Callithrix jacchus: one gene and its partner. The protein of the gene in region 1 interacts with the protein of each later gene in a pairwise test. Links are inferred from orthologs where the notes say so. Each region holds a gene or a part of one and is shown on either strand. Other genes may lie near its edges.

Evidence for each region.
Region 2: the proteins of KRT13 (region 1) and CCNC interact in a two-hybrid assay, tested with the Homo sapiens proteins (2 studies listed by BioGRID and IntAct). The two-hybrid records come from large-scale screens. The link is inferred for Callithrix jacchus from reciprocal best matches to the Homo sapiens genes KRT13 and CCNC.

The regions. Positions count from the first base shown.
Region 1 is NC_133506.1:91,751,372-91,755,681, forward strand, and holds the start of KRT13 (keratin, type I cytoskeletal 13), read left to right. Parts: upstream 1-1,410; 5' UTR 1,411-1,472; coding exon 1,473-1,943; intron 1,944-3,269; coding exon 3,270-3,352; intron 3,353-3,549; coding exon 3,550-3,706; intron 3,707-3,894; coding exon 3,895-4,056; intron 4,057-4,166; coding exon 4,167-4,292; intron 4,293-4,310.
Region 2 is NC_133505.1:105,600,814-105,604,628, reverse strand, and holds part of CCNC (cyclin-C), read left to right. Parts: intron 1-738; coding exon 739-823; intron 824-985; coding exon 986-1,055; intron 1,056-1,221; exon of another isoform or gene 1,222-1,305; coding exon of another isoform or gene 1,306-1,359; intron 1,360-3,815. UniProt on the Homo sapiens protein: Component of the Mediator complex, a coactivator involved in regulated gene transcription of nearly all RNA polymerase II-dependent genes.

The DNA of each region.
Region 1 (4,310 bases):
TTGGTCAAACACTCACAAGCTTGGACAGACCTCATGTGACTGGCATACTAGAAAGGGCCCTGCTCACGTTATTACAAGACTGTCTTCCTGCCCCTAAAGCAGCTAGTGTAATGGAGTGAGTAAACCCGAGGGCCAGATTGACCCAGGGCATCTCAACCTCAACACTATTGATACTGTGGGTCTGAGAATTCTTTGCCATGGGGATTGTCCTTTGCCCTATAGGATGTTCAGCAGCATCCCTGGTGTCTAGCTACCAGTAGTGCCCCCAAGTTGTGACAACCAGAGTGTTCCTAGACATTGTCAAATGTCCCCTGGGGAGAAAAGCAGCTCCTAGTTGGGCACCACTGAGCTTGTCTATGGGGACAGAGGTTGGAAGAGTGGTGGTATCAGGGGCGTGGAGTCAAGTAACTCACTGGGAAAAGGTGCAAGGAGCTTTATGGAATGCTGGGAATGTTCTGGGTGGTGTTTACACAGGTCACGCCTGGGTCGAAAGACATGAAGCTGGACCTGATCTATACATTTTACTGTATGAAAGATATACCTAAAGAATGCACCTCAGTGCCAGACAGAACCAGACCTGGATTTCAGTCCTGAATCTGCCCTTTAGGTTCATTTTCCTCATGTGCAAAATGTAACAGTAGGAACCTGCTCCCAAGGTGCTGTGAAGGTTAAATATGATGAGTGTTAAGTCCCTTCACCCCAGTCCTGCCTAGGGTGAGGGCTCTGAGAATATTTGCTGTGACGATGGATAGGGCCACTTCCTCTTTCCATGCCTGAGTTTTCCCAGCTGTGTCTGATGGTCCCTAAGATCCCTGAGGGTCTCTGTCACTGTGACTTTTTCTGATGCTTTGGGGCCATTGCTTTCTTGGCCTAAATACTTTCAAGGCCGTTGATTCTATCAGACCAAGTAAAGTTTGTCCTCAGAGTTTCTGGGACCCCTGGAGTAGATGAAGTACTAAGAGGGATCCAGGACATCCCAGATGGGAATTGTAGTATAGAAAAAAGGAAGGTCGAGGGCCACGGTGACCTGGCAAAGCACAGAGCCACTTTGCAGCCACCACTTCCCTTGCAGAGGCTCCTGGCAGGCCTTTGCATCTTAGGTCCCGTTCTGATACTGGGTGGGGCTCAGAGCCTGTAGGGTGAACTCCTTAAGTGGAGGTGAAACAGAATTCGCTTGTCAAAAGGGCAGTCTCAGGCAGAATGCTGTCCCCTCTGAATCATTCCTTTTGTTAAGGATTAAAAAAAAAGCCACCCCCAAAAGGCACAACCCACCCTGGAGAGAGCAGAGGTAACTGGGCTTGTGGGAAAAAGAAGTGCAGTTGGCACCAAGTCAGAGGGTGGGGAAGGGAGGAGAGAAGATATCCAGCCCCTGTGGAGGTGTATAAAAGGTGTCCACTCTGGGGAAGAGCCACAGTCCTCGGCCCAGGCCAAGCAAGCTTCTGTCTGCACCTGCTCTCAATCTTGTTCTCACCATGAGCCTCCGCCTGCAGAGCTCCTCCGCCAGCTATGGAGGCGGTTTCGGGGGTGGCTCTTGCCAGCTGGGAGGAGGCCGTGGTGTCTCTACCTGCTCAACTCGGTTTGTCTCTGGGGGATCTGTCGGGGGCTATGGGGGCGGCATAAGCTGTGGCTTTGGTGGAGGGGCTGGTAGTGCCTTTGGAGGTGGCTATGGAGGTGGTCTTGGAGGCAGCTTTGGTGGGGGTTTTGCTGGTGGCTTTGCTGACTTTTGTGCTGGCGATGGCGGCCTCCTCACTGGCAATGAGAAGATAACCATGCAGAACCTCAACGACCGCCTGGCTTCCTACCTGGAGAAGGTGCGCGCTCTGGAGGCGGCCAACACTGACCTGGAGGTAAAGATCCGTGACTGGCACCTGAAGCAGAGCCCATCTAGCCCGGAGCGGGACTATAGCACCTACTACAAGACCATTGAAGAGCTCCGGGAAAAGGTGAGACCTTGGAAGCTGAGGAGGGCACCCCCATGCAGGGCAGAGCCTCCAAGGCCAAGGAGGTTCCACAGTGTAGCAGGGGACCAGGTGTTGGTGAAATTCACAGCCTTCTTGCAGGGTGAAAAGCCTCATCTTTTACTACCAAGAGTCTCTACTTTTGATGGGCTTTCTCATGCCACAGCTCCCCAGATGCATTTTCTCTCATTATTCATTTTTCTTGCTGTTATTACTCATGCCATTTTTTTTTTGCTGCTTTCCAGACAGTTACATTATTTGTGACTCGATCTCTATAATCCCAACCCACTGAGCTATTTGGAAACATGACAGGTTTAAAAGCCACTAAGAATGAGTGAAATCAACAGAGAAAGTGAAATCAACATGTTCATTCATTGCCCTGGGAATAACTGTTTACTTTGTAGGGGACCCATGCAAACTGATATTCTTAACTGGTGATGGCTAGGTCGGGGAGAGAGAGGCAGAGGCTTAGGCAGTACTTACCTGCATGCCCTCTGTTGAACCCTGCCTGTTATGCTGTGATACCAGCCTGCTGGAGTAGAAATCTACCAGCCTGGGCTGAGTCCCGGCCATGTGGAATAGGCTTTCAGTGCTTTGGAATATAAATGTTTAGACAAGAAACTCAAATGGATGGGAATATTTGTCAGATTTCCCCTCCACTCAGCTGGGAGGTCAGCTCCTGCAACGTGATTGGGAGATATGCAGCACCAAGCTGAGTCCCTCCTGACTTTCAGGGGAGGGCTCTTAAGACAGTGGCCCGGGGAGGGTGCTAGTCTGAGGCTGCCGAGACATGACGAACCAAAGATGTTCTCAGCAGGTCGTTCCTCAGAAACCCACTCCCTGCGTCTTTCCCAGGGTGCTCAGACATGGAATGTTCAAGCAATAGGAGCAATTGGAGGGAACGCAGCTCCACCCTTCACTTTACGGAAGAGCAATAGAGGCCCAGAGGGAAATGCCTTGTCCCAGCTCAAGTTAGAGACAGAGCCCCCTGGGAACCGGTCCTGCCCATGTTTTCCCAGCCACCTCCTCAAGCACATGGAACCCCTAGAGCAAGCTTGTCCAGCCTGGGCTGCATGTGGCCCAGAATGGCTTTGATTGAGGTCCGACACAAATCTGTAAGCTTTCTGAAAACATTATGAGTCTTACAATTTTTTTAAATTAAAAAAAATTTTTTTTTGCCCATCAACTATCATTACTTTTAGTGTATTTTATGTGTGGCCCAAGACAATTCTTCTTCCTCCAGTGTGGCCCAGGGAAGCCAACACACTGGACACACACGCCCTAGAGGTTACCTTCTTTTGCATTTTGTAGATCCTGTCTGCCACCATTGAAAACAACCGGGTCATCCTGGAGATTGACAACGCCAGGCTGGCTGCGGATGACTTCAGGCTCAAGTGAGTTTTTTCCCCTCTCTCTCCTTTCCCAACAGTTTCTTAGTTTAGACAAATGCTCACCTGGCCAATGACACTGGAGCATCCCAGAAGTGAAGGTCAAGGAGAAGTATCAGAGTCCAGTGCAGGGGTAGGGGGACTGTTTCATATCATTTATGTCTTGCTTTTCCAAACACCATTTTCCTGTTTTACTATTTCAGGTATGAGAATGAGCTGGCCCTGCGCCAGAGTGTGGAGGCTGACATCAACGGCCTGCGCCGGGTGCTGGATGAACTCACCCTGTCTAAGACTGACCTGGAGATGCAGATTGAGAGCCTGAACGAGGAGCTGGCCTACATGAAGAAGAACCACGAGGAGGTGAGCGGGAACTGCAGGCTGCCCTGGGCGGAACCACCTCCAGTGAGAAGGAGGAACCCTCCCCTGCAGCCGGGCGCAGCCCTCCACTGTGGGACCTGGAAGCACTTTCCAGAACACTCTCCCAGGACTCAGAGCCAAGGAGAGGGAGGATGAGGAGCCTCACACATCTTCCTTTCCCATCCCCACAGGAGATGAAGGAATTTACCAACCAGGTGGTCGGCCAGGTCAATGTGGAGATGGACGCCACCCCAGGCATTGACCTGACCCGCGTGCTGGCAGAGATGAGGGAGCAGTATGAGGCCATGGCAGAGAAGAACCGCCGGGATGCCGAGGAATGGTTCCACACCAAGGTACCTGACCCTCTCACCCCACACGGCCAGGGGAGCTGAGCAGATACAGCCCCTTGGTTAGGCTGTTTGAGCTGAGCTTCCCCATCACCTTCTTCCTGCTTGCATTTCAGAGTGCAGAGCTGACCAAGGAGGTGTCTACCAACACTGCCATAATTCAGACCAGTAAGACAGAGATCACGGAGCTCAGGCGCACGCTCCAGGGCCTGGAGATTGAGCTACAGTCCCAGCTGAGCATGGTATGCCTGCCACCTCCT
Region 2 (3,815 bases), on another chromosome or scaffold:
ATAATTTTTTTTAACCTTCATTTCACTGTTTTGTAAACATTTCTCTGTTTTGAGGATTTATTATGGATTTTTTTTTTTCTTGGTGAACTGTATAAAGTGGTAGTATTAGCTGGGTGTGGTGGCTCACACCTGTAATCTTAGCACTTCGGGATTCATAGATGGACAGACCACTTGAGGCCAGGGGATACAAGACCAGCCCGGCCAACATAGTAAAACCCCTCTCTACTAAAGATACAAAAATTAGCTGGGCATGGTGAGGCACAAGAGTCACTTGAACCCGGGAGGTAGAGGTTGCAGTGAGCCAAGATCGTACCACTGCAGTCCAGCCTGGGCAACAGAATATCTGTCTCAAAACAACAAAAAAAGTGGTAGTATTAACAAGTTTCATAGGCATCTAATATTTTCTTTTTATATTTATTATAAAGATAATATGAAAGGCATTAAAAATATTTAGAAGATAGAGGGAAAATACTTACTCAACTTCCTTAATGCATGAATAATATTTTGCTGTGGGGCAATTTCTATTTTGTTGTTGTCGTTTATGCACTCCTATTTATTTCTTAACACATTTACAAATCCTTGTATTAGACCACTGTGGCTCATATAGAGCATGCACATGTTTTTTCCTTTGTTAAAAATTAATATAATTATGATTTAACCACATGGAAGTTACTGTTCAATGTTAATATTATAATGATCCCAGAAGATACATTTAAAATATCATTATTTTCCCTTTAGTTATCCAGGCATTAGGTGAACATCTTAAATTAAGACAACAAGTTATTGCCACTGCTACAGTATATTTCAAGAGATTCTATGCCAGGTAGGATTATTTTTATTTTATTTATTTGAACTCTTATCTAATATGGATGAACCTTAGCACAGTGTAAATGAATCATGTGTCTGCCATAGAGTTATCTTGATTTTTTTTTCCCAGTGTGCTTTCTATATGAATGATAATTAACTTTGCTTTATCATATTTTAGGTATTCTCTGAAAAGTATAGATCCTGTATTAATGGCTCCTACATGTGTGTTTTTGGCATCCAAAGTAGAGGTATAAAATGATTTTTTGTTCTTCATCAAAGTGTAGTTAATGTATGTTGGTTAATCTGCCCCAGTTTTCACATTGCCTATATACAATTAATGGTAATTTATGCAAAATACTAAAATTGTACAAAGTCAAAGAAATATATACATATCCTTATATATTCACTTAACAGACATATACAGCACTTACTGTGTACCAACTGACTTAATCTTCGTAACAAACTGGAATACATAGTAGTAGTATTCCCATTTTATAAATGAGGAAACTGAGACAGAGAGAGATGAAGAACTTGCTTAAGATTATACAGCTGGTAAGTGTCAGAGCCCGTGTTTGAACCATGGGAGTCTCATTACCAATCCTGTGTTCTTAACTACTTTCCTTTGCTGCCTTTGAGACATTTCTTGTTTGGCACTAAGTATTATTCAGTAAGTACCCATAGCTTGCCTGCCATAACCTGAGAATGTCCCTCTTCCTTCTCACCCATGTCCTTATCTTCTCCTATCTTCCCTCCTATCATTCTGATGATTGGCTGCCTACCAAGCCACAAGGAAGGCAAGGATTAGGGGACGCTATAGCTGTATAGATTCTAACAAGTAAAAGTTTGGGTTGTGAGAGTAGAGAAATTAGGTAAGGGAGAGAAGATAGATAGGAACTTGCAGCAGAGACTGAATTTCTGTTCAGTTTCTTTTGCCTTTGTCACATTTTTGAAACAGCTCAGCTAAAATCCAGAAAATAAAAGCAGATATTGACTGTTTTCCATAAATAATTAATGTAGTTTTTGTGGTGTAAAATCTTTGCATTATATTTCTATTTTTGGATAATGTCTTAGAGTGGTAGTTTTATTCTTGGATATTGAATGTGATTTTTACCTAGTAAGTTTACATTCCTTTTGGTACCCACTTTGATTTAGTTTTGTTTTTGCCATGATTTAAGATTATCCATGACATCTTCCCCAATGTTTACCTAAATAATGACAGTTGCCTCTGTTAGAAATAATATTAAGACAAGCTTTCTAGAAGATTATGTTTTCTAATTGTGAGTGGTAGTTAAGGCAGAACCAGCTTTGTTTTTGTTAAGTTCTTTAATGGAAAAGAAAGTATTTATTAAAGGTTTTTATTATGGATTGATTTTTCTAATTCTAATAATTCTACTGTGTAATATTTGATTTTACTTAAGTATTACCGTGTAATAATTTTAAGTGTCTTTTTTTTTTTTTTTTTTTTTTTTTTTTTTTTTATTGGATTATAGGTTTTGGGGTACATGAGCAGAGCATGCAAGACAGTTGCGTAGGTACACACATGGCAGTGTGCTTTGCTTTTCTTCTCCCCTTCACCCACATTTGGCATTTCTCCCCAGGCTATCCCTCCCCACCTCCCCCTCCCACTGGCCCTCCCCTTTTCCCCCCAATAGACCCCAGTGTTTAGTACTCCCCTTTCTGTGTCCATGTGTTCTCATTTTTCATTACCCACCTATGAGTGAGAATATGCGGTGTTTCATTTTCTGTTCTTGTGTCAGTTTGCTGAGGATGATGTTTTCCAGATTCATCCATGTCCCTACAAACGACACGAACTCATCATTTCTGATTGCTGCATAATATTCCATGGTGTATATGTGCCACATTTTTCCAATCCAGTCTATTATCAATGGGCATTTGGGTTGATTCCAGGTCTTTGCTATTGTAAACAGTGCTGCAATGAACATTCGTGTACATGTGTCCTTATAGTAGAACGATTTATAGTCTTTTGGATATATACCCAGTAATGGGATTGCTGGGTCAAATGGAATTTCTATTTCTAAGGCCTTGAGGAATCGCCACACTGTCTTCCACAATGGTTGAACTAATTTACACTCCCACCAACAGTGTAAAAGTGTTCCTTTTTCTCCACATCCTCTCCAGCATCTGTTGTCTCCAGATTTTTTAATGATCGCCATTCTAACTGGCGTGAGATGGTATCTCAGTGTGGTTTTGATTTGCATCTCTCTGATGACCAGTGACGATGAGCATTTTTTCATATGATTGTTGGCCTCATATATGTCTTCTTTCGTAAAGTATCTGTTCATATCCTTTGCCCACTTTTGAATGGGCTTGTTTGTTTTTTTCCTGTAAATCTGCTTGAGTTGTTTGTAAATTCTGGATATCAGCCCTTTGTCAGATGGGTAGACTGCGAAAATTTTTTCCCATTCTGTTGGTTGCCGATCCACTCTAGTGACTGTTTCTTTTGCCGTGCAGAAGCTGTGGAGTTTGATTAGGTCCCATTTGTCTATTTTGGCTTTTGTTGCCAATGCTCTTGGTGTTTTGTTCATGAAGTCCTTGCCTACTCCTATGTCCTGGATAGTTTTGCCTAGATTTCCTTCTAGGGTTTTTATGGTGCCAGGTCTTATGTTTAAGTCTTTAATCCATCTGGAGTTAATTTTAGTGTAAGGTGTCAGGAAGGGGTCCAGTTTCTGCTTTCTGCACATGGCTAGCCAGTTTTCCCAACACCATTTGTTAAACAGGGAATCCTTGCCCCATTGCTTGTTTTTGTCAGGTTTATCAAAGATTGTATAGTTGTATGTATGTTGTGTTGCCTCCGGTGCCTCTGTTTTGTTCCATTGGTCTATATCTCTGTTTTGGTACCAGTACCATGCTGTTTTGATTACTGTAGCCTTGTAGTAGAGTTTGAAATCCGGTAGTGTGATGCCCCCCGCTGTGTTCTTTTTGCTTAGAATTGACTTGGCTATGCGGGCTCTCTTTTGGTTCCATATGAAGTTCATGGTGGTTTTTTC